7 linked regions of the Macaca fascicularis genome follow. Each later gene encodes a partner of the first gene's protein in a complex. Links are inferred from orthologs where the notes say so. Each region holds a gene or a part of one and is shown in the gene's direction. Other genes may lie near its edges. The genes, in order: DPM2, PIGA, PIGY, PIGP, DPM1, PIGH and DPM3.

Region 1 (4,207 bases):
TTAAAGCTGGCTGGTTCAAAACTCTTACTTTGGGCCGAGCGCGATGCTCACACCTGTAACCCAAGCACTTTTGGAGGCTGAGGTGGGCGGATCACCTGAGGTCAGGAGTTTGATACCAACCTAGCCAACACGGTGAAAACCCATCTCTACTAAAAACACAAAAATTAGCTGGACGTGTTGGCACGCGCCTATAGTCCCAGCTACTCGGGAGGCTGAGGCAAGAGAATCACTTGAACCCAGGAGGCGGAGGTTGCAGTGAGCTGAGAACACGCCACTGCACTCCAGCCTGGCCGACAGTGAGACTCCCATCTCTGGGGGAAAAACAAAAAAACAAAAAAAACCTCTTACTTTGGGCCAAGCCTCCACGGGGTGCCAGGGATACAGCAGCAATCTCAGATCCTACCCTCAGGGAGCTGACAGGGCCGGATGAACAAGTGTGTCAGTGAATTAAAAGGCACAGGAGGCTGGGCACGGTGGCTCACGCCTGTAAACTTTTGGAGGCCGAGTTGGGAGGATCGCTTGAGCCCAGGAGTTCGACACCAGCCTGGGTAACATAGAACTCCGTTTCTAAGAAAGAAAAAAAACCCTTCCCAGCTGGCTTCCCTGGGGAACGTGGCGTCCCAGTGAGGCTGGATGGATGGGGAGCAGCCGGCCGGTGAGTGGTGGGGGCCCGCGTTCCTATCTCGGAGCTGAAGAAGCGTGGAAGATGATCTGGCCCAACATCCCTTTGTTCTCAGAGGAAGGATCCTCCAAGATCGGGGAGGGGCCTGTGCGTGGGTTCTGGTCCGAAACATGTCTGGGCTGCTGCGAGAGGCAGCCGGTGAAGGAAAGGAGGGGACATCCAGAGGGTGGCCCAGGAGGCCAGGCGATGGTGAGGAGGGCGCCCCCTCTCCACCAATCCAAATCCTCCCCATTCATGCGGGCTGGGGACAGACCCTCCCCCGCCCATCCTAGGCTGAAAAGTGAACATTCTCTGCGCCTCTCCCACCTACAGACTAGTTACGGCCCCCCAGTTCCCGTGTCGGCTTCACCACTGACTCGGATTGGGATCTACCTTTCTCTGAGCCTCGCTTTTCCCATCTGAAAAATGGAACTTCCGATCCCGCACTCCCATCTCACTCTGACCCCAGGACTTTGGGATACTTAGAGATTGGCTTTTGGTGGGGCGGCGACAGGACTGTGGCCATGAAGGCCAGGGAGTCTGGGTCCCCAACTCGGTCCCATTCCCTAGGGAGATTCGGGCAGCAACCGGCCCCACAATGCTCTTGAGAACTACACTTCCTCGATATGCAAAGGGGAGGAGGCGGTTCCTGCTAGTCTCCGACGACGTGGGCCTGAGCCGGCCTGGGGACTACGACTCCCGGCGCGCTCCGCAGCCCAAAGCCGGAAAAGCGTGAATCCGGAACCGGATGTGGCTTGCGGCTCCGGTGACTGAACGCGCGGGGAAATGGTGAGATTGGGACAGAGTGCCGGAGATAGGGGCGTCTGGGGGTGGGGTCTCGGGTACTCAGAAGCTGGGGCATGGGCACTGGAACGGGGATTGCTCTCCCGCCCCCCCTATTGTACGGACGATAACGCGGAGGCCTGGCATTCTCTCCCAGCCTAGAAACTGATCCCTAGTCAGCCCTCTAGCATCTTTTTTTTTTTTTTTTTTTTTTTTTTTTTGAGACGGAGTCTCGCTCTGTCGCCCAGGCTGGAGTGCAGTGGCGGGATCTCAGCTCACTGCAAGCTCCGCCTCCCGGGTTCCCGCCATTCTCCTGCCTCAGCCTCCCGAGTAGCTGGGACTACAGGCGCCCGCCACCTCGCCCGGCTAGCTTTTTGTATTTTTTAGTAGAGACGGGGTTTCACCCTGTTAGCCGGGATGGTCTCGATCTCCTGACGTCGTGATCCGCCCGTCTCGGCCTCCCAAAGTGCTGGGATTACAGGCTTGAGCCACCGCGCCCGGCCTCCTCTAGCATCTGTTGAATGGGAAGCTTAGACCGTGATTGGGCCGCGACGCCCCGCCTCCATTAGTACGCCAAAATAGAGAGTCACTTCGTCAGCTGAGACCTCCCTTTTCTCCAGGCCACGGGGACAGACCAGGTGGTGGGACTCGGCCTCGTCGCCGTTAGCCTGATCATCTTCACCTACTACACCGCCTGGGTGATTCTCTTGGTATGTCATTCTCCCCGTCCGCTGCTCACCTTCCCGTAGCCCTGGCACCGCCAAAGCAACTTCTATGTAGGTTCTAGGCACGGCGCTGGCTTCATTGCCTGCCTTATCTCTTGAAATCTTCAAAACAACGCTATGAGGAAGATGCCAGTGGTGCCGCATTTTTTAGATGAGATAGCTGAGGCTCGGGGAGAAGGATCTGGCCCAAGATTGCATCCTTAGCCGCTACACTTAAAACTCTGTTTCCAGCTTGCTTTGACTTTTGGGGGAGTTATGTTCCTTCTGGGTTAGCCTGCTGACTCAGGCATGGCGAGCGCCAGTGATATCTGTGAAGGCCTTTAGGATATTTTTTTCTTGTGGGAAAACGTGTTGGTCATTGCTTAAGAAGTGCAGTGTGTTTGGAAGTGCAGAACTTGCTATCCTTTAGGGAAAAAATATTAGTGAAGAATCCCTGGAGGCCCAGGTTGGGAGTCAGTCGAGGATTCCTCATGTACTATTTGCTAGCCTGTGAGTGCCTTAGGGCTGGTCTCTTGTCCCCTGTTCTCTTGTCCCCACCACCAACCTATGGCAGGCACCAAAGCAAGTGCCCGGTAAATACCAATAAGAAATTAAGGAAGGAAACAAACCATGACACCCAAATGCCATAATCTTAAAGAAAAGCAAATGCAGGCCCAGTGCTCTGAATGGGCCAGCCCCTTAGATGCTAGAGGTGGTGTGTTTGGGCTTGGGGGCTGGGCAAGGCGAGCAAGGCTCACCAGAGCTCTGCCCTCGATGCCAGCCATTCATCGACAGTGAGCATGTCATCCACAAGTATTTCCTGCCCCGAGCCTATGCTGTCGCCATCCCACTGGCTGCAGGCCTCCTACTGCTCCTGTTTGTGGGTAAGTCATCACTTCCTCCCCTTGACCCCGGGCAGGGTTTCGGGGGGACCCCACCTCTGAACATGCTTCCACACTTTGGCACTGCTGGAAGCTCCTTGCCCCGAACTCACCCCTGGGGTTTTCCTGTTCATCCTTCGAGGTTGCCAGTCAGTAACCTCTGGGTTTCCTGGTGCCCCAGGCTTTTTGGACTCCAATGACCTGTCCCCCTCTTTCCTGCCCCCAACCCCATCATTGCTCTGCTCACACCTCAGTCACCCTCTTGTCACCCTGGCTTCTAATTCCTGCACCTCTCTCTCTCATGGCTTCCTAGGGGCGGGGACTGTGTCTCCATCATTACTGTGCATCTAGAATGGGCTGTGGCACTGAGGTTGTGCTCAGAAAGTCATTTGGATGAGTCAGTCAATAGCCGGGTGCCTGGATGATGGGTGGATGGATGGGTGGGTGGGTGAGGTATAGGAGGTGGGTAGGTATATAGGTGGACAAGTGGTTGACTGGGTGATCTATAGATGGGTGGATCTTGTTCCCCTTGGAATCTGAAACACTAAATGCAGCATCTTTGCCTGAGGCAGGCACTCAGCTGGTGTTTGTTGAATGAATGTGAGTGGACCTATGGCTTGACGAATGACTAGGGAGATAAGCAGGTTCCCTGGAGAGTGGTTGGGTAGGTTCACAGCCCTGCGTGTGGGTGGCTCTGCTGTGTCGTGCCCTGGCCTCCCAGCAGCCCTGAGCTTAGATCTTATGTGGCCTTTCTGGTCTATGTATTCCAGGACTGTTCATCACCTACGTGATGCTGAAGAGCGAGAGGGTGACCAAGAAGGCTCAGTGAAGGTCCCGCGGGGATGAGGCTGCCAGCCCCTTCTCTGCTTCCCCTCCAGCACAGGGACCAAGTAGGGGAGCCTGCAGAACCTGTCCAGGCACAGTGGCGCCTCCAGCCTGCCTGTCCTGCAGAGTCCCCATGACATGGAGCTTACCCCTGCCTGACCGGAGCCCCCTCCCTGACTCTCACTTCCAGAAGCTAGGAGGGAGGAATACCTGGAAGACTCCAGTCACCCCCTTCTTGCTCAGGGCCTAAAAGATGCTGGTCTCCCAACCTCACTCTCAGACTCCCTGCCACCTTTTCCCCCGGGTTTTGCCATGTTGCCTCACTTCCCCTCCTGTCACATGCTGACATTGGA
Region 2 (3,139 bases), on another chromosome or scaffold:
TGTTCAGACTTTGCGGGACTTTGGAATTCTAGTAGTTGGCTAAAATTGATGGTGACTCCCTAGGGGAGAGGTACTGTGGCTTATTCTTTGTATCACACAGCCTCTAGCCTGGTGTCTTGCCCAGAATAAGTACCCAGTAAGTTTTGAATCAAATGGCAATGATTATTGTGATTAAGTTCATTAAGGATATCATTACTATGACAGCAACAAAACACAAGCAACTTTTGTTTGCGTTTGTTTATAAAATGTTCCTGCAGGATCCGGTCATTGTTTATCATGGGACAGGTGATGGGGTGATGGGTGAAAGTGCTCACACTTGCCTTCTTTCCCTCTAGGTATATGACCGGGTATCAATGGAAGCTGTGTTGCCAATGGACAAACGACTGGACAGACTTATTTCTCACTGCGGCCCAGTAACAGGCTACATCTTTGCTTTGTTGGCAGTTTTCAGCTTCCTCTTCCTCGTTTTCTTGAGATGGATGACTCCAGATTCCATCATTGATGTTGCAGTAGATGCCACTGGGCCACAGGGTGCCTGGACTAATAACTATTCTCACAGTAAAAGAGAGGGTGAGAATAGTGAGATATCTAAAACCAGGTAGAAGAAAGCCTAGATTGTAAGATTTTCAACATTTCTAATAGTTCTATTAAGACTATGGAAAATAACCTTGCTTTTGGGGGGTTTTGTTTTTTTTAGAGTTAATTTAGTAAGTTATGCTACCTCTATATCATTCAATATTTTCTGTTGAGGAAAGATTAAAAAGTTATGCAATTCCTGAGTGTAGAAACTTCTTGCACTTATTTAAAATTTAGGAGAGAACATTTAAGCCACTCAGGTATGAAATTTTTCAGACTACTGAAATCCCTGTAGCAGAGATGTTTTAACATTATATTTTGAGAGCTTTGGGTGCTGAAGGGCCAAACGTTTTCTGGGCATTTTTTGGCCAGTTTTTAATGTTACACCATTAGACACTCACCAGATGTTTACAAGTTTTCTTTAGGGAACTACAACAATTATATGAACTGTTTTATATCATGTTCATATACGTTTATTAGAAATCTAAATCACATCTTTAAACATTTATTAGGTTCACTCAGTAGGTGTTACATATAATTAACAGGTTCCTTGAGTAAGATAGTCCATTAGTAACCAGCACATTTTGAACCCCTGCTCTGTGCAGAATGTTGAACTAGATGTTTCCCGCCATTAAGGACCAGGGGTGCATTCACTCTCTGTTTACCATTCAAATGGCTTACTTCATCATAATCATTGTTGATATGAGATAAATATCCAACATGCCAAAAATGCTCTTGCCAGTTAATGCCGGGAAAAAAATCACCAACACACTACTAGTACCTGTTGTATGCATTCTCCTAGGTAGAGCCTTCATCTTCAGTTGTGTTTATGAAGATATTTTTTGCTTTTTCAATACTGGGGACCGATATCACTGTTGATAGTGCAGAGAAACCCTCCATATTTTTCAGTGCATATTTGAGTTTTCTATAAATGCCTTCGTGTTTTCTGAGCGGAATGTATGAGGTGTGCCATCCCAAAACCAGCTGCTACCCTGTCCTTTTAATGTAAGTCACTCCCCTTCACTGTGGCCTCGCTGATGTCTGATAAGTATTGTCAGTATGCAAAAAGCTTTACTTCAGAATGTTTTATTTATAGCAAACCGAGTTGAAAATTTTAGCAACAGTCTTTGTTGTTGGATCGTATTAACTGTAATTGTTGTTGCCCAGAGCCATGGGTTTTTTAACCCCAAATTATTCACATGGTGTGTATTATCAATTCTTTGAACTCTTAAGGTTTTTGTGAGAAAAGGACTGTGAATTCAAAACAGTGAGGCCCTTGTGGGTGCACTACATAGATTCTGACAGTGTTGTGATACTGTATAGGATTTTTAAAAATGACAACATTCACAAAATTTGTTACTTTTTAAAAAATAACATGCCTATTACCTGGTTGCACTGATATAAAAGAAATATATTTGTGTTTTGTTTGTACTAAAATGCAAAAGCAAGAGTGCAGTTTTTGAAATCTAGAAGTTAGGGGCACTTTTGTTGGAGAAAAATGGACTGATCTAAAGCATTCAGTCTTACTGGGATTTTTATGCATAAAAACTCACATATAAACATGAAATAAACAGTGCCAATATTCATTGTAAAGTGAGAAACTATAATATTTGGCTATTATTCTATTCAACAGGTTTTAGACGCACGCCACCATTTTTTCCTTATATTTTTGCTTGATTTTTTAAAATTGTCATTTAATTCTTAAATTGTCATTTATTTGAGATGGAAATAAGATCTAAAGTTAGTTGCCTTTGCTTGTAAGACATGTAATTTGCAAATTACTACTTTTAACAAATGGAAGTAAATTTGTTTTACGTAAATCTTGATTTTCAGCCTTCCTGGATACCTTAATTGTAACTGTCAGTGTTGCACTGGTCGGTATGTGGAAACACATTGCTCTACCCTGCTACTTACGTTGATTTTAAAGTGAATTTACAGTGATGAGGAATTTGTGAAAACTATATTGTATTTCTTTTGATGTTTCAAAAGGTTGCCTATGAAAAACTGATTTGTTAAAACATGCTACATGTCCAAAAATAAAGACCAGAATGACATTTTGCTAATTTTCTGTTTGTCTTATTTTATGACCAGACTGTTATTTACTAGTGGAACAGGCTATCCCTGCCCCCGACACATTCTTTTCCAATGCAATTTGGATGTGTTGCTTGGTCTATTAGTAAAACAAGAAATACCCTTTGGGCGATGAATTACTCTGTCATTTTTTGTTTCTAGAATATCTTCTCTCTCTTACTCATGGAATAGCAAGTTCAATTGTGCCTTTGTTTCCTTACCCAAATAAGCCCTTGTTTTTCACTGCCCTAGCGTTATCATGTGAGACAAAGGAAAAGATCTACAAACTGTATTGCGTATGTGAGCTACATAATTATGCTTTCTACTTTGCCCAACACAAATTTGTAAACTTTCTTAAAACATTATGAGACTTGTGATTTTCTTTTTTCTTTTTTTTTTCAGCTCATCAGCTATTGTTAGTGTATTTTCATTTATTTATTTATTTATTTATTTATTTATTTATTTATTTTTGAGACAGAGTTTCACTCTTGTT
Region 3 (2,754 bases), on another chromosome or scaffold:
GCTTCGCGACCGGCTGCTCTTTGCAATCACCCGGGGACCGTTTTAAAAATGCCGATTCCCCTGCAGCCCCCAAGACGGGCAGACTTGGAATGCTCGGGGGTTGGGACCTGAACATTTGTATTTTCTTTTTTTCCTTTTAAGAGACAGGGTGCCCCCCTACGTTGCCCAGACTGGCCTAGAACTCCCACCTCAGCCTCCTCAGGAGTCGGGAGACAGGCGCCGCCGCCACGCCCAGCTTATTTGTGTTCTTAAATGGTCCCTAAATGATTTCTAACGTACCACCAGGTTCTTGAATTACTGCGATTCAGGACAAGTCCAAAGCCATCCGGTTTTTAAGCCAAGATAATGAAAAGTATTTTACCCTCCAGATTCTTGTGAAAGTGTCTTGTACAACTGGTGCCTGACAATCTTAAGCAATTCAGCTGTGTATGCTGCCTGGTGGCTCTTAGTTGTGGCCTAGCAGATTTCTTAGAAGCCTCTTTAACCTAGTTTTTGGGAAGACAGCTCTACAGTTTCCAAGCTCCCAAAAATGGAATATTGACAACACTAACGCTAGTATTACAAATCGCATAAACGAAACACCAAAACGTTGTCAGTGGTTATCTTTGAGTGGTAGATTGCTAGCAATTTTTCATATTTCTTTTTTCCCATAATAAACATATTCAGTTTTCTCAAACCTTGAAATTATTTGATTTGCGTTTATAACTAGCTCACGGCAGACTTACTGCTTTCCAAAGTTTCCTCATTTCTGCCCTCTCACCTTTTCCAGTGATTTCCTTCTAATGGATTAGTTAAGTTTTTCTGCTTAGCATTTATTCTAAAACGAAGAAGTTGATTTTTCTCTAGTGTTTATTCCAGTAGTAAATTAACAGAGATGATTTGGGGGTTGACCAAAGTAATGAAGGAATATTTGGATAAGAGAGGGGGATCTTTTCTGACTAGTATGAAAAAAAAATTAAAGAATAACTTGTGAATAAGGTGAAAAAGAGAATATGAGAGAAACTGACTAAAATGGGAATAATTATAGATTCTAAGAGAATTTTTCTAAGATAAAAGGTTGAATTGGCTATCGTTGCTTTTAATGAAAGAAGACTATTCTGGGATTAACTCCATACCAAGAATTGGATAAATGATGGTATTTGTTGAAAATCAGGCTCTTCAATTATTTTATTTTTCCACAACTCATTTTGTTCTTTTTTTTTTCCACCCCAGATATGAAGCATCAACAAATGAATTGATTAATGAAGAGTTGGGAATAGCTTATCCAATCATTGATGGGATTCCTAATATGATACCACAGGCAGCTAGGATGACGCATCAAAGTAAGAAGCAGGAAGAAGTGGAGCAGCGCTAGTTCATAATTAAAAAAACATAAAACGCAACAGCCAACTTTTCTTAGTACCATATACCTTTTAAAACACAGTGGCAGGTAATAAGTGGAAGAGAAGAATGTTTCTGTCTCTTCCTACATTGACTGTTCTTATTCCACTGGTTTCTTTAACAGGACTGTTCTACTCAGCCTCTGTGGAAGAAAACTTCCCACAGGGCTGCACTAGCACAGCCAGCCTTTGCTTTTACAGCCTGCTCTTGCCTATTACCATACCAGTGTATGTATTCTTCCACCTTTGGACTTGGATGGGTATTAAACTCTTCAGGCATAATTGATGCAACTAGAGTCAATATGCTGTATACATTAATGGTAGTTCTTGGGCATCTATCTCTGAAAGCTCAAATGGATGGAATTGAGTTTGTGGGAAAGAGGCTTTGCTTTGCGCATATCAGGCTTAGGACTGTGGGAGGCTTAAGTTGCAGGTGCTTCTTTTATTGTGCTCTTGTTCTGCCCTTGTTTTTTGAAGGCTCTGACTTATAACTGCTGTATCAGAAGAAACATTTTGACAGTGTCTTGTTGGAGATAAACATCCCTAATTGACATGTGATGACTATTTCTTATTCCATTCATCTAAAAGTCATTGAAATTTTGTTTTGCTTGTTTGTTTAGCTTCAAGGTCTTTGGTAAAGTCACATGTTAGGGATGACTGAAATAATTCCAAAGGAGTGATGTTGGAATAGTCCCTGTAAGGGAGAGAAATGCATTTGAATGAATGTGATACAAAACCATATAATGAAATAGAAATTTCATGTACTTACAAAAATTGAGTTTGTAAAATTACCTTCATTTCTTTGACATTAAATGCTTATATTAGCAATAAAGATGTTGACACTTTCCCATAAAAAATAAACCAGTTTGTAATCATTTGTTTTGTTTATTTGTTTGGTCACAGAAGTGTTATTGATACTAAGGGAAGTTGTAAAACTGCACTAAATATAGCTGTGTTGAGAGAGGTACTTAATACCTAAAATAGAATCATTTCCTAGGAAAGTAGGGGGTGGGAAGACTTGCAAGTAGTGGATTGTGCCCTGTTGAGCTTAGAGCCATATTTTGAGCCACATTTCAGTTTATTTTCCCAGGACGCTGAATAACACCACTAAGGGCATGAGCATCGACACATTAATAGCCTCTGATTTTCCAGAACTTTCAGTAAGACTAATCGAGCATAGTATAATACTTCTGAAGTATAGTGTGTTTCAGTAGTTAACCCAGAGAAACCAAAGAACCGAATACAAACTTTATTTTTATTGGAATCTTATGTTAACAGAAACCTGAAACAGTGATTCTTCTGCATCAAAAAATTAAGACATGTTAGATGTGTTTTCTTTTGAATTAATTCAGGGTATACTGTAGTATAAATGACA
Region 4 (4,235 bases), on another chromosome or scaffold:
CCAGGATGTTGGGCAAAATGGAAAGCGATTTAGGTGAATGCCATAAAATACTCTACAAACCATTAAATATCATCAAGAACGGCTAAGGACAGCATCGCCCAGCAGGCGTGTGCATATATTTTGAAAGGTCTCTGCAACTGAGGGGGTTCTGACGTCCAGGGCGCCTCTGTTTGAAAACGCACGGCGAACTGGTACCAGCCCAAATTCACCTGTCTCGGCTCCATTTTTTATCTTTGATCCCTCTATTCTGTGCCCTGAACAGGCTGGCTGAAGAAGCCACACTGGCAGCGTCAACACTGCGGAGCAACTGGCAGCGTCAACACTGCGGAGCAACTCGCCAGACTCGATCCTGTCCACCCCCCTTCCCTTTAGCGTCTGTGGGGGAAGATGCTCAGAAAGAGGCGCGGGGGCGAGGGGAGCGGCGAGGTTACCCCCCTCCTGGGTCCGTTCCGTAGGGACAGGCCCTGGACTGGACTGCCAGTTCACACGAAAACAGGTGACAACAGAGTCGTGAACACACGCACACACAGCAAGGGATGTGCACGAACGTTCACGAACACGCACCAACGAAACCCGCACACAAGAGATACCCACTCGACAAAACTAAACCCGCACACATGAGATCACGCACTCGACAGAACCCATGCGCAGACACTCTGGGGACACTCGGAGACACGCGAGGACGCACACTCGCGCGAGCAAGGCTCTAGGCGGGGGTCGCGATTACAGGAGGCGCGGCCACGCGCGCTGGGGAACGCGCAGCCCACAGACATGGGCAGTGACACAAAGGGGGGGCCACCCGCGAGGCCGAGAGCGCCCCCGCAGCCGCCAGGGAGCGCGGACACCGACACAAAGGGGACCACGAGGCGACACGCGAGCGCGGGCCCCTCCACCCAGCAGGGGGTGTCAGCCACGCACCGGCCGAGGCACGGGCAGCGGGGGAATGCGCACAAAGCGACTACTCCCACCCTCGCTCCGGCATCCCAGGGCCTCGCTCGCAAAAGGGCACCAGACCAAGGGGACAAACCCACTGGGGCAGGCAATAGCGGCCACACCCCCTCATTGCGCGGGGCCCCAACCCATGCAGACACACAGCGGGCACCGCAGCGAGGAACGCGGGGTGACGCGCACACACCCACACTCACCACACACCCACGGAGGGGGTGTGGAATGCCCCACTCCCCCGGCATCTCGGCTGCAGCGGGACAAGGTGACACATCCGGGAGCCCGGCCGCGCGCCGGGTGTGCACTCACCCGGGCCCGCCGCCCGCGAGCCTCGGCGCAGGCAGCAGCCTCCGCCGCTGCTGCCGCCGCAGCCGGCACCTCCGGCCCTCCACGTCAGCCGACGGCGGGAGGGAGTGGGCGGCTGCGCTGAAGGGAGGTGCATCACGTGGGCGGGCAGCGCGCCTGCGCAGTCGCACCCCACCGCCCCCTCCTTCGCCGTGGCGATTCGCGGGATCACGCCGGCCTCGTGCCGCCCGGCTCCCACCCAGGGAGGGTCCTCGTGCGCCTGCGCCAAGGTGGGGGGTGTCGTTGCGCCTAGGCCTTTCCCTCAGGTTTTCCTCTTTTCTCCCCCACTGCGGCGCCTGGTCGGCCCTTGCGCAGAGAACTCAGCGCTGAGGTGGCCGAGGTGTCGAGAGGGGCCCGGGTGGGCGTACGAAGGACCCGAGGTCGAGGGCCCCCCCATACCCTGCCTCGAATGAGAAATATAAATCTCCACGAGTGGGCAGGGCCCGGGGCCTGGGCGCCGCGACCCAGCAGGCCCGCGTGCTGGTGGGCGCCGCGCGAGCCTTGTTCCCTGCCCTCCCCTCCCACAGGGAGACCACGCTGGCAGAGCTGGAGCGCGCCTCTGTCCCCCCGAGCCCCTCTCGCTGCCCTATCCCCCGCCACCCCTTCTGTTGCGGGGCGCGCGCCAACCTGGGTGCCTGTGTGCGCGCGAGGCGGGGGCGCGGGTTGCGGACGGGGGCGCGGGAGGCGGTTCTGTGCGGCGGGGGCCGTGCCCGCGGCGGAGCGATGGGGCGAGAATGGACCAATGGTGCCGGGGAGCACCTCGCTGATGGCTGATTGTGTTCCTTTTCCACAGGTTGTCTAAAGCCCCAGGAAAAATGGTGGAAAATTCACCGTCGCCATTGCCAGAAAGAGCGATTTATGGCTTTGTTCTTTTCTTAAGCTCCCAGTTTGGCTTCAGTAAGTACTTTCCTGATGGATGGCCAGGGGCTTTTTCTGGCGTTCAGTGACAAGGGAAGAATCCATTGGTTAGACTGTGTACACATGAACTGTTGATTCTTTCTCCCTATGTCTCTTTTTAAGAGAATCTGAAGGGAACTCGTGTTTGTTGAGTGTTCTGTGTGCCAGCACTAGCCTAGGAGGTTTTAGTCTCTACAAATATTTATACAGCGCCAGACGCGATGGCAAAGTGAATAAAGCCTGGTCCCTGCCCTTAAGGAGGTCGTGGTCTTGTGGAGGAGACAGATGAGTAAATCTACAGTTAGTGCTCAGTGTCAGGGGAGCACGGTGGAGAGACATTGAAACCAGACTGGAAAATCAAGGCTTTTACAGAGGCCTTTCCCCCTGGCACTGATGCTGGTTAGAAAAGAGTAGGAGAGAGGGACGACGTGGAAAGGCCGTGAATGAGGGCGTGAGAGGGTTTGGACCCGAGGAGCTTGGTATGGCACCAGTGTGCCCTGCGGGGATCTGGGGAACAAAAGAAGTAGCCCAGAGAAGTCAGGTTGAAAGGTGTGTCCTTTTCGTCCTGGATCTCCCTTAATCCCCATAACGTTCCGTTTTACAGATACGGAGACTGACGCTCACTGAGACACTAGTATGCTCAGTCACACAGCAAGCCCCAAGTCTCTCCCCAAAAGGATTTGGGAATTTTGAGGCACACAAGAGGGAGAAAATTGAGTGCCCCTGATCCAGCGTTTTGCAACTCTTTGGAAACTAGGAAAGTGGAGGAGTGGTAGTACTTCTGAACCCTAACTAAAATATATCAGCCTGCACCATCAGTACAGCTTGCAGATGAATGTAATGGCCAGGCTGTTACAACTGAAATGAAGTGAAGAAGTTACAACTGAGTTCAAATTCTGACTCCTCCACAGATTACCCATGTGAGCTGGGACGCTCAGCAAATTTTTTGAATCTCAGGTTCCTTATCTGTAAAAGGTTAGTGATAATGATGGTTATTAAATGCTTATGACACATGAAACAGTTCTATGGGGTAGGTTCTGTTATTATTGTCCTTTAAAGATGAGCATCCTGTGGTTTCAGTAACTTACTCAAGATTGCAAAGCTACTAAATGATAGGCCTCTAAATTTGAACCCAAATACACCGACTGACTTCACTCTGCTGCCTCTTCTGACTGTTGTGAGGATTAACCGGGGTAATTTATGTAAAGCATGTAAAATAATGCCTAGGAACGGTTAAGGACTTAATAAGTGTTAGCTACTGATGTTATTGTTAGCAACTTTCGTAAATCCTTGTTCAAAGAATGTATCAAGGATTAGAAGCTATATGAATAAATAAAAGCAATCACTTTAAGACTTAAATTCTGGCCAGCGCAGTGGCTCACGCCTGTAATCCCAGCACTTTGGGTGGCCGAGGCAGGCATATCACCTGAGGTCGGGAGTTTGAGACCAGCCTGACCAACATGGAAAAACCCCGTCTCTACTAAAAATACAAAATTAGCAGGGCATGGTGGCGCATGCCTGTAATCCCAGCTACTCTGGGAGGCTGAGGCAGGAGAATCGCTTGAACCTGGGAGGGGGAGGTTGCGGTGATCGCACCATTGCACTCCAGCCTGGGCAACAAGAGCGAAACTCTGTCTCAAAAAAAAAAAAAAAATTAAATTCCATGATACACACAACCAAAAAGTAATTCAAGTATTTATTGGTGCTTACCATGTGCCAGGCACTGTTACAGGCTAGGAAGGACCAAAACAGCCAAAAATGCCCTGCTTTCATAGAGTTTTTATTCTAACGCTGGGGGGAGATAGTCAATGGACAAATTAAATAAGAAAAACGTATACAGTATCAGGTGATAAAGTACCATGGGGAGAAATTAAGCAAGGGGAAGGAGGATACGGAGTGGAAGGAGGGCCTTTTAATGTGCTGCTGTGTCTTTTTTTTTTTTTTTTTTTTTTTTTTTTTTTTTTGAGACGGAGTCTCGCTCTGCCGCCTAGGCTGGAGGTGCAGTGGCGCGATCTCGGCTCACTGCAAGCTCCGCCTCTCGGGTTCAC
Region 5 (3,500 bases), on another chromosome or scaffold:
TAAGCAAAAATATTAAGAAGGACTAAATGACAAATAAAAAGAGAAAGAATTTAATTAGGAATATGACATGTCCTTGGACCAGTAGAGGAGATGAGGTCATCCAAGCATAAGGTCAAGATAAGTTAATAGAGGAAGAGTGATATTAGTATTCAAAACCCAAAGGGAATTGAGAGAACAAACATCAGATTTCCCAAGAAGGTGTGAAATAATGAGGTAAGTCCTACATTTTTCTAGGAAGGAATCAATAGGTTTAAAAGGAAATTCAAGTATAGATGTAAGGACATGTTATTTAAAATAGAGTGAGTGACAACAGAAAAAAAAAATTTAATTTTGATTGTAGGGTCGGGGTTAAAGAATGTTGCTTTGCCTCAGAAGCTATGTTAAACTATTTGGTTTGTTACCAAATGCTTTTTTTTTTTTCCTTTTGGCAAAAAAACATTAACCATACTCTGCTTTAAGTTCTAACAAGTGCAACTATATTTCTATTAAAATGAGTATGCACTTTTGAATAAAATAAAATTTAACATGATAACATTTCTGTTTCTTTGTGTAAAATGCTGTTTCTTATTTTACAGCTTCTAAAACCACGGGAGAAAAAGTTGGGACTAGGTAAGTCGCGGAACCTCTAACCCCTCATGCCTGCTACTTGCCTGGTGACATGATCCAGTGTGTATTTGCCCAGTTTGGAATAGGGCCAAAATACAGTAACTTACTGTGATGGTTTTTAATGATCTTAATGACATTTAAATGGTATAACTTGGGTTGCCTGTATAAGTCAAGGCCCACTCAGGACGATAGAAACCACTGTAAGTCTTTCGGTGTAGGGAATTTAATACTGAGTCGCTGGTTACACTGGTGAAGGAGTTCCTGAGAAACCAAATGGAGCAGTGAGGCTACTAAGATTAGTAACAGCTGGAGGTCACTGCCACCCCTAGGGATGGAGCAACAGCAGGAAGAGATGTTTTAAGAGCCTAAGAACCTGGGCTGCCCAGAGGGAGCTAGAATGATGGGGTGGGGGCTGCCTGGCAGGAGCTAGAACTGTGGGAAATTCCCAGTCAGAGGTGAGGGTTTCTCCATGTTGGTCAGGCTGGTCTTAAACTCCCGACCTCAGGTGATCCACCTGCCTCAGCCTCCTAAAGTGCTGGGATTACACACGTGAGCCACCGCACCTGGCCAATTTTTTGTATTTTTAGTAGAGATGAGGTTTCACCATGTTGGTTAGGCTGGTCTTGAACTCCCTGACCTCAAGTGACCACCCATCTCAGCCTCCCAAAGTGGTAGGATTACAGGCATGAGCCACCACACCCAGCTGATACTCACTTCTTAACAAAATAAGTTAGAAGAGTTCAGCCTTGCTTATAAAACACCTGTGAGGTGTCTGGACTAGAGAATGCAGGAATCCCCAAGTCCTGCTCCTGACCAGTTACCCTAGCCTGCCAAGTCCCTGTGGGACTTTGAGGCATGGAGCTGGCTAAGTAATTGTCAGCAAGGCCTTTGGCCTCAAATACCAGAGCAGGGGTCTAGCGTACCAGGCATACAGTGTAAAAGACAGTGTGTGGCTTTTGTGGAAGTGGACTTAGAGCTAGGAAGAGCAGAAGCAGGGAGGCTTGTTAGGTAGTCATCTAAGCATCAGAAGGTAGCACCTGGAACTAAGTGACGATCGACAAGAAAAAGGGAATTGAAATGTTTTGGGTGGTGAATCAATAGGACTTAATTATAGTTTAGAAGTTATGGTTAAAAGTAGGAAATCAAGAGTCATCTCTAGACCTGTGGATGGAGCAATTGGATAGTTGGTGCCATTTCCTGGAGAGGTGGCCTGTAAGAGAGAGGTAGAGAATTGGAAGATGATTTTGCGATGTTATCTTTGAGATTTCTGAAATACCCACAAGGAGATGTTAAGTAGGAAGCTGGTTTGTAAATGTGGAGCTCTAAGGAAGGGTCTGACTTCATCAGTCTCTTAGGGGGATGCTAAGGAAACACCAGATGGGTTTTTAAAGCATGAGAATGTGATAATTGCTACATAATCTCAGACTTTTGAACTTATAAACTATTTGCTCAACTGAAATAGAGGTATGATCTCTTCTATTAAATTGACATCTGAATGGGGGTGTGTGGCCAGCTACCTTCTTGATTATATATGTAATATACATGAACCTGTGTACTTAAGGTGAAAAATACCGATTTATGAATACCACTTTTAGAGGACTAATGTATGCTCTTCAGGTGCTAAACAGTTTCCTCCACGTTCAAATGTATATGTTAAGATTTCTGTTGACTTTCTTGAATGGATATACTTTCATTTTTAGGAACTGCATATATTCATGGAATGAAACATGCCACAGGAAACTACATAATTATTATGGATGCTGATCTCTCACACCATGTAAGTGGTATGTTTCTTTATTAGCTATTTATGATAATCTTAGCCTATTTTACTGACTTTACTGTTTATTCTTTCCAAATTTCAGCCAAAATTTATTCCTGAATTTATTAGGTAGGTACTATTTCTAATATTTGAAAGAAATATGACTGGAACCGTTTATCTTACTGGTTTTGGGCTTATTTTCATTTTTTATTAATCAAAAATATACGTACTTTTTTTTTCTATCAAAAATATAAACAAAGCTTGGGAGGTCAAGGCAAGAGGGTTGCTTGAAGTCAGGAGTTTGAGACCAGCCTGGGCAACAAAACAAGTCCTTATCTCTACAAAAAAAATAACAAAAATTAGCCAGGCACAATGGCATGCGCCTGTAGTCCAGCTACTCAGGAGGCTCAGGTGGGAGGATCACATGAGCCCAGGACTTGAAGGCTGCAGTGAGCTATCATCATGCCTCTGCATTCTAGTCTTGGTGACCCTGAGACAGAGTGAGACCTTGTCTCTAAAATATTTATCTGTATAGATAGTAGACACACACACATACAACACACATTTGAGACTAAATGATGTACTTTAGGAGTCCTGAGGAGCAAATCAATAGGTAGTTCCTTTGTTAATCTGAATTCTTTCAGACCACAGAAAAAGGTGGAAGACGGCTTCTTTGATAAATGGAATTAAGCCTTGAGTTATTAGAGTAAAACACCATGAACAAAAGAGTTTATTCCAGGAATGCCAGAATGGCTCGTTATTGGTAATCACTCATAATTCATTCATGAGTAGTGTGGTTAACTCTGTAGATGCTAAAAGAGATATTATTTACTACCATTTTCTAGTTAAAACTTTAAGAATAGAAGGAAACCTCTTAAGCATAATAAAAATAACCCAGTCCTAATACAAATATCACACCAAATAGTGAAATGCTGAATCATTTCCAGTAAATTCATTAAGATAGGCATGCTAGCTATCATTAAACATGGAAATGTTAATACAGTAACGCAAGAATTTAGTTAAATATTAGTAAAGTATACATAATTTATTTGTAGGCAATATAATTATATTCTTAGCCCAAAGATCACAAAACCTCTGTGAATAAGATTTTGGAAGCTGTTCTGAGTTTAAGCTA
Region 6 (3,500 bases), on another chromosome or scaffold:
ATGCTTCAGGCAAAGAAAGCACTACCTTCATAGAAATGGGCAAGGTCAAGGATATTGTCATCAATGAGGCTATCTACATGGTAAGTATTTGAAAGGCAGTATTACAGTCCTCTCTGGAGGAGGTAGCCAGCCCATGGGGTGTTCCCAGATCTATACTGAGCCTTAATACCTAAAGTACTTGATGTCACAGAATTAAACATGAAGATCCTCTGCTCTAGTACTTACAGTACTAGAGTTTTCTTTTTGGCTGGCATGTCTATAAACCATAAAAGTGAGACTTATATGTAAAAGGTAAATCTCCTTATTTTTAAAGAGATGCAGCAGGTTTTCATGGATAGAGAATTAGTATTTCAACTTTATCTTCAAGACCAACTCCAAAATTATCACTGGCATTTTTTCCTTCTCTTTCTTTCTTTTTTCTTTTTTTGTGAGACCCTGTCTGTTACCCAGGCTGGAGTGTAGTGGCTTAATCACAGCTCACTGCAGCCCCAACTTCCCAGGCTCAAGCCATCCTCCCACCTCAGCCTCCTGAGTAGCTGGGACTACAGGCATGCACCACCATGCTTAGCTCGTTTTTTCTATTTTTTGTAGAGATGGAGTCTCACTATGTTGCCTAAGCTGGTCTTGAATTCCTGGGCTCAAGCCCTCCTCCTGCTGTGGCCTCCCCAAGTGTTCAGTTTACAGGTTTGAGCCACTATGCCTGGCCCTGTCTTTTTTCATTTAAGGAACAAGAATATACTTTTCTCCCACTTCAAAAGCTATCAAGTGTTCTACTACTTAACCATTTGTGAAAAAGCGTTGAGCCTTACCTTAGAAAAAAAGAATGTGGCCAGGCGCAGTGGCTCACGCCTGTAATCCCAGCACTTTGGGAGGCCAAGGCGGGTGGATCACCTGAGGTCGGGAGTTCCAGACCAGCCTGGCCAACATGGTGAAACCCCATCTCTACTGAAAATACAAAAAATTAGCCAGGCATGGTGGCAAGCACCTGTAATCCCAGCTACTTGGGAGGCTGAGGCAGGAGAATTGCTTGAACCCGGGAGGTGGAGGTTGCAGTGAGCCAAGATTGCACCACTGTACTCCAGCTTGGGCAACAGAGTGAGACTCTGTCTCAAAAAAAGAAAAAGAAAAAGAAAAAAGGAATGCAAAATGAGTTTCACTTAGACTTTGCTATTTGATTTATTTTCTTACAGCAGAAGGTGATTTACTACCTCTGCATCTTATTGAAGGATCCAGTGGAACCACATAGGATATCCCAAGTAGTACCTGTCTTCCAGGTGAGCATAGAACACTTTTACCGTTGTCCAATTAATCCTCAACCTTTTCTGTAGGAATGTAAATTCCTTTTTTCAGAGTATTGGAAGACACCTGACAGCTGTTTTGAGTGATAATTAGGATTTCAGTTATTTGAGAAGTTCCTCTCTGAGGCAAATATAGTCCTTAAAAATATTATTCCTGCATATTTTATTATTTTATTTTATTTTATGAGACAGAGTCTCACTTTGTCACCTAGGCTGGCTTGCAGTGGTGTGATCGTCACTCATTGCAGCCCCCACCTCCTAGGCTCAAGAAATCCTCCTGCCTCAGTCTCCTGAGTACTTGGGACTACAGGTGTGCACCACCACACCTGGCTAACTTTTTTTTTTCTTTTTAGTAGAGATGAGGTCTTGCCATATTGCCTAGGCTGATCTTGAACTCCTGAGTTCAAGCAATTCTCCTGCCTCAGCCTCCCAAAGTGTAGGGATTACAAGCATGAGCCAGCACACCTGGCCTCATGCACATTTTAAAGAGCACAATCAAATATATAGCAACCTCTGCCTACAAATCACTATTCATCTACTTTGACTCTGTCAGTCTACTAATGTACAGTTTTTTAGATAGAGGTCATTGATCTCACATTGTATGCTATTGTGTGTCTTGCTTTGTAAATAATATGTATGTGTCCTACAAAGGCCATTATATTTATTATTTTAAATAACTATATTGTATAATATATTGAAATGTCAGTTTATTTAGCCACTCTTGCCACCTTTTAAAATCCTGCCTGGAGTTTTTTGTTTTGCTCTTACAAAAAAAAAAACCACTTATCAGCTGGTGCAGTGGCTCACGCCTGTAATCCCAACACTTTGGGAGGCTGAGGCAGCAGATCGCTTGAGCTCAGGAGTTCGAGACCAGCCTGGGCAACATGGTAAAACCCCCATCTCTACAAAAAATACCAAAATTAGCTGAGCGTGGTGGCACACATCTGTGGTCCCAGCTACTCAGGAAGCTGAGGTGGGAGGATTGCTTGAGCCGAGGAGGTCAAGGCTGCAGTGAGCTGTGATCATGCCACTGTACTCAGCCTGGGTGACAGAGATCCATCTCAAAAAACAAAACAAAAATTATACAAACATAATAAATTATACAAACATAATAAATTACGAAGTAAATTATTTTAGAGGTAGGTATTTATGCACGTATTTATGTATATAGTTAACCCTGCCTCACTGACCTTTTTCACAAAGGATTTAAGATAGCTAAGTTAAAATATTATTTTGCATTATAATTAAAAATTATTTTATTAAAGCTTATGAATAGTTTTATAGACTTCTAGTGTTTAAGATGGGGCTCCAGAGATTGGACAACATTACCATACTTTGGGGCTTTTGTACTTCTTTTTCTACCATCCTGGCTAATAGTGGATTTAGCTTTTTTAGCTTAATATGTAGGTAAAGGCATTTTAAATAGGTAAATTTGTATCTCTTTAAATGATAGGCTTTTCATATTTCCTTGTATTACCTATCAGTATTTCCTCTTATTTTAAACTACCTATCTTCTCTATTAGTCAAGAAGAATCTGAATATTATGTATTTGTACCTGTTTTTATATATTTTTAACAATCTTTATATATTTTAGGTAGTATACTTTTATTAAATATACTTTCACATATATTTTTCCCATTCTGTGGTTTTTCTTTTAATTTTGGTTATTACATTTCATTGTACAAAACATTTTTCAATATTTACATATTAAACTGCCCTTCTTGTCTTTGAGGGCTATTTTATAACGTGTGACATTTCTTGAGGGTCCATTTTGTTTTTCCTCTTTGCTTACTCTTAGAGATGGAGTTCATGAAACTTAGACAGATGAAAAAGCTATCATTTGATCTCCCACTTCACACAATTCACAAGGTGGGCTGTGAGCCTAGCTGGGACTCTTCCCAGCAAGGTGTGCTGAGGCCTAAACTTAACTCCCTGAGCTCACTGCTGTGCCATTTATACCCCTTGATGTGGGTGAGAGATTGAAGTTGCATGTGGGCCCAGTACCATGGCTCAAGCCTATAATCCCAGCACTTTGGGAGGCCAAGGTGGGCGGATCACTTAAGGCCAGGAGTTTAAGAGCAGCCTGGCCAACATGGTGAAACCCTGTCTCTACTAAAAATACAAAAATTAGCTGGGCATGGTGGTTCGTGCCTGTAGTCCCAGCTACTCGGGAGGCTGAGACACAAGAATCATTTGAACCCA
Region 7 (2,446 bases), on another chromosome or scaffold:
TGGGAATTCTGGGAGATACTTATCAACTTGAAATTTGGGTGGACACAGCCAAACCATATCACCTGTAATGACCATATTTCTTCCTTTTTAATGAATTGCCCCACAGTTCCTCTAGTGTGTTCTCTCTGTTGCAGCAAGTTAATAAACCTGTCAAACTACAGATGTGGTCTTTATAAGACAGGCTTTTATCAATTGTCTTTCCTTTCTTTTATAACTCTTTGTTTCCTCTGAAGTTGATAATTGCCTAACCTTTTCTCTTACTTAGTTCTCTCTCTCTCTTTCTCTTTCTCTGTATAATAAATTCATCCCCAAAAATGTTCGAAAGAATTATACTCCTTCTTTCAGTGCCTTCACCACCTCACGTAATTCTTCCGATCTTTCTTTTCTTTTCTTTTTTTTTTTTTTTTTTTTTTTTTTTTTAACACAGCCTCCTGGAGCCCTTCTTCCTCTGGCTCCAAGTTATATTCGTTGTTGTCCTTGTAAAAATATAACTACCTCTGTTCTAACAATAATCTCAAGCCTTCATGGTTAGTTGTCAATGCAACTGTTTCCCTGACTCCTGCTTTCCCCCTCCATCCAAAGAGGGGTCGAGTCGCGTGATATCTCTGTATCTCCAAAGTCTATCATGGTAATCAGTAAATGTTCTGGCTGGGCGCAGTGGCTCATGCCTGTAATCCCAGTACTTTGGGAGGCTGAGGTGGGCAGATCACTTGAGGTCAGGAGTTTGAGACCAACCTGGCCAACATAGTGAAATACCCGTCTCTACTAAAAATACAAAAATTAGCCGGGCTTGGTGGCATGCGCCTGTAATCCCAGCTGCTTGGGAGACAGAGGTTGCAGTGAGCTGAAATCGCGCCACTGTACTCCAGCATGGGCGACAGAGCGAGACTTCGTCTCAAAAAAAAAAAAAAAGTTCTGTCCAGCCTAGACAGTCTAGAGAGACCCTGTCAAGAACGGAAAGAAAGAAAAGAAAGACATGTTCGAATGAATGAACCAGTGAATGAAGGAATGGATTTCAGCTCTGGAGAATTGAGTTTAAGGGGAACAGTATTATATTCCCATCTTGTTGCAACATTTAAGGATGTCCTCAAGATCCAAGCCAGCCTGAAGCGGAGCCCAAGGTGGGGAAACAGCGCCCAGGCCTCTCCAGACCCAGCCTGCTCCGGGTTTGCGGAGCGCAGTCCGCTGGACCCCGCCTAGACTGAGGCGGTGGCCAAGAGTACGCCAAGGACCGCCATGTGAACTACAACTCCCAGAAGGCCGCGCGGAAGCGGAGCGTGAGCCAGGGAGGACTTCCGGACATGAATATCCGGGCCGCGCGGGGAATGGGAGACGTGGGGTAGAGGTAAGTGTAGGTTGAAAGCTGAACGGAGAGGGCGAGAGATGGGGAGTGGGTCTCAAATATAGAGGGGGGTAGCAAGGTGGAAGGAACCCTTCCACCTTTTGTGGGCACTCAAGTTCGGACCGCTGGGATCGGCGATTCCCCTCTGGCTACGGTTGGTTTAAATGCTCTCTCCCTGGGCGGGCTTCGGTTGAGTTTGGTCCTCTTTTCCTTTCTGCTCCTCAGGGGAGCATTGTTTTCTTTTCTCGCAGTGACCATGACGAAATTAGCGCAGTGGCTTTGGGGACTGGCGATCCTGGGCTCCACCTGGGCGGCCCTGACCACGGGAGCCATGGGCCTGGAGCTGCCCTTGTCCTGCCAGGAAGTCCTGTGGCCACTGCCCGCCTACTTGCTGGTGTCCGCCGGCTGCTATGCCCTGGCCACTGTGGGCTATCGTGTGGCCACTTTTCATGACTGCGAGGACGCCGCACGCGAGCTGCAGAGCCAGATACAGGAGGCCCGAGCCGACTTAGCCCGCAGGGGGCTGCGCTTCTGACAGCCTGACCCCATTCTTGTCCGGACAGCCCTTCCTCCCATGCCCCATTAAAGAGCCAGTATTTTCTAACTTCGTTTAGTTTGAGTATGGAAAATGGGTGTTGGGGATTCAGTGTACTAACTGTCGAGAAGTGAATGTGAAAGAACCACCTTCCTGAGGCCATCTCAGCCTGTATTTTGCATCATGCTGGTATTCCCATTTTTGCTCCCAAGGAGGCAAAGACGCCTTCTCAAGATCTCTCAGGATGGAAATGACATTTCACTTTCTTGGTCCTTTCAGCCCTATAGGAAGTACTTCTTATTTTTTTTTTTTCTGAGACAGAGTCTCACTCTGTCGCCCAGGCTGGAGTGCAGTGGGGCGATCTCCGCTCACTGCAAGCTCCGCCTCCCGGGTTCACGCCATTCTCCTGGCTCAGCCTCCTGAGTAGCTGGGACTACAGGCGCCTGCCACCACGCCTGGCTAATTTTTTGTATTTTTAGCAGAGACGGGGTTTCACCGTGTTAGCCAGGATGGTCTTGATCTTCTGACCTCGTGATCCGCCCACCTCAGCCTCCCAAAGTGCTGCGATT

Evidence for each region.
Region 2: DPM2 (region 1) and PIGA share a complex: the UniProt entries of both Homo sapiens proteins name them as parts of the glycosylphosphatidylinositol-N-acetylglucosaminyltransferase (GPI-GnT) complex. The link is inferred for Macaca fascicularis from reciprocal best matches to the Homo sapiens genes DPM2 and PIGA.
Region 3: DPM2 (region 1) and PIGY share a complex: the UniProt entries of both Homo sapiens proteins name them as parts of the glycosylphosphatidylinositol-N-acetylglucosaminyltransferase (GPI-GnT) complex. The link is inferred for Macaca fascicularis from reciprocal best matches to the Homo sapiens genes DPM2 and PIGY.
Region 4: DPM2 (region 1) and PIGP share a complex: the UniProt entries of both Homo sapiens proteins name them as parts of the glycosylphosphatidylinositol-N-acetylglucosaminyltransferase (GPI-GnT) complex. The link is inferred for Macaca fascicularis from reciprocal best matches to the Homo sapiens genes DPM2 and PIGP.
Region 5: DPM2 (region 1) and DPM1 share a complex: the UniProt entries of both Homo sapiens proteins name them as parts of the dolichol-phosphate mannose (DPM) synthase complex. The link is inferred for Macaca fascicularis from reciprocal best matches to the Homo sapiens genes DPM2 and DPM1.
Region 6: DPM2 (region 1) and PIGH share a complex: the UniProt entries of both Homo sapiens proteins name them as parts of the glycosylphosphatidylinositol-N-acetylglucosaminyltransferase (GPI-GnT) complex. The link is inferred for Macaca fascicularis from reciprocal best matches to the Homo sapiens genes DPM2 and PIGH.
Region 7: DPM2 (region 1) and DPM3 share a complex: the UniProt entries of both Homo sapiens proteins name them as parts of the dolichol-phosphate mannose (DPM) synthase complex. The link is inferred for Macaca fascicularis from reciprocal best matches to the Homo sapiens genes DPM2 and DPM3.

Annotation. Positions count from the first base shown.
Region 1 is NC_088389.1:16,050,622-16,054,828, forward strand, and holds the start of DPM2 (dolichol phosphate-mannose biosynthesis regulatory protein), read left to right. Parts: upstream 1-1,407; 5' UTR 1,408-1,447; coding exon 1,448-1,450; intron 1,451-2,064; coding exon 2,065-2,154; intron 2,155-2,929; coding exon 2,930-3,032; intron 3,033-3,799; coding exon 3,800-3,858; 3' UTR 3,859-4,207. UniProt on the Homo sapiens protein: Regulates the biosynthesis of dolichol phosphate-mannose. Regulatory subunit of the dolichol-phosphate mannose (DPM) synthase complex; essential for the ER localization and stable expression of DPM1.
Region 2 is NC_088395.1:15,124,015-15,127,153, reverse strand, and holds the end of PIGA (phosphatidylinositol N-acetylglucosaminyltransferase subunit A), read left to right. Parts: intron 1-335; coding exon 336-602; 3' UTR 603-2,639; downstream 2,640-3,139. UniProt on the Homo sapiens protein: Catalytic subunit of the glycosylphosphatidylinositol-N-acetylglucosaminyltransferase (GPI-GnT) complex that catalyzes the transfer of N-acetylglucosamine from UDP-N-acetylglucosamine to phosphatidylinositol and participates in the first step of GPI biosynthesis.
Region 3 is NC_088379.1:94,070,560-94,073,313, reverse strand, and holds PIGY (phosphatidylinositol N-acetylglucosaminyltransferase subunit Y), read left to right. Parts: upstream 1-1,354; 5' UTR 1,355-1,449; coding exon 1,450-1,665; 3' UTR 1,666-2,254; downstream 2,255-2,754. Other genes in the region: PYURF (protein preY, mitochondrial), read left to right, coding at 1,213-1,354. UniProt on the Homo sapiens protein: Part of the glycosylphosphatidylinositol-N-acetylglucosaminyltransferase (GPI-GnT) complex that catalyzes the transfer of N-acetylglucosamine from UDP-N-acetylglucosamine to phosphatidylinositol and participates in the first step of GPI biosynthesis.
Region 4 is NC_088377.1:9,901,947-9,906,181, forward strand, and holds the start of PIGP (phosphatidylinositol N-acetylglucosaminyltransferase subunit P), read left to right. Parts: upstream 1-1,435; 5' UTR 1,436-1,699; coding exon 1,700-1,773; intron 1,774-2,083; coding exon 2,084-2,187; intron 2,188-4,235. UniProt on the Homo sapiens protein: Part of the glycosylphosphatidylinositol-N-acetylglucosaminyltransferase (GPI-GnT) complex that catalyzes the transfer of N-acetylglucosamine from UDP-N-acetylglucosamine to phosphatidylinositol and participates in the first step of GPI biosynthesis.
Region 5 is NC_088384.1:107,047,382-107,050,881, reverse strand, and holds part of DPM1 (dolichol-phosphate mannosyltransferase subunit 1), read left to right. Parts: intron 1-575; coding exon 576-609; intron 610-2,306; coding exon 2,307-2,383; intron 2,384-2,468; coding exon 2,469-2,494; intron 2,495-3,500. UniProt on the Homo sapiens protein: Transfers mannose from GDP-mannose to dolichol monophosphate to form dolichol phosphate mannose (Dol-P-Man) which is the mannosyl donor in pathways leading to N-glycosylation, glycosyl phosphatidylinositol membrane anchoring, and O-mannosylation of proteins; catalytic subunit of the dolichol-phosphate mannose (DPM) synthase complex.
Region 6 is NC_088381.1:135,494,109-135,497,608, reverse strand, and holds part of PIGH (phosphatidylinositol N-acetylglucosaminyltransferase subunit H), read left to right. Parts: coding exon 1-80; intron 81-1,190; coding exon 1,191-1,274; intron 1,275-3,500. UniProt on the Homo sapiens protein: Part of the glycosylphosphatidylinositol-N-acetylglucosaminyltransferase (GPI-GnT) complex that catalyzes the transfer of N-acetylglucosamine from UDP-N-acetylglucosamine to phosphatidylinositol and participates in the first step of GPI biosynthesis.
Region 7 is NC_088375.1:106,001,690-106,004,135, forward strand, and holds DPM3 (dolichol-phosphate mannosyltransferase subunit 3), read left to right. Parts: upstream 1-1,303; 5' UTR 1,304-1,345; intron 1,346-1,567; 5' UTR 1,568-1,598; coding exon 1,599-1,877; 3' UTR 1,878-1,946; downstream 1,947-2,446. UniProt on the Homo sapiens protein: Stabilizer subunit of the dolichol-phosphate mannose (DPM) synthase complex; tethers catalytic subunit DPM1 to the endoplasmic reticulum.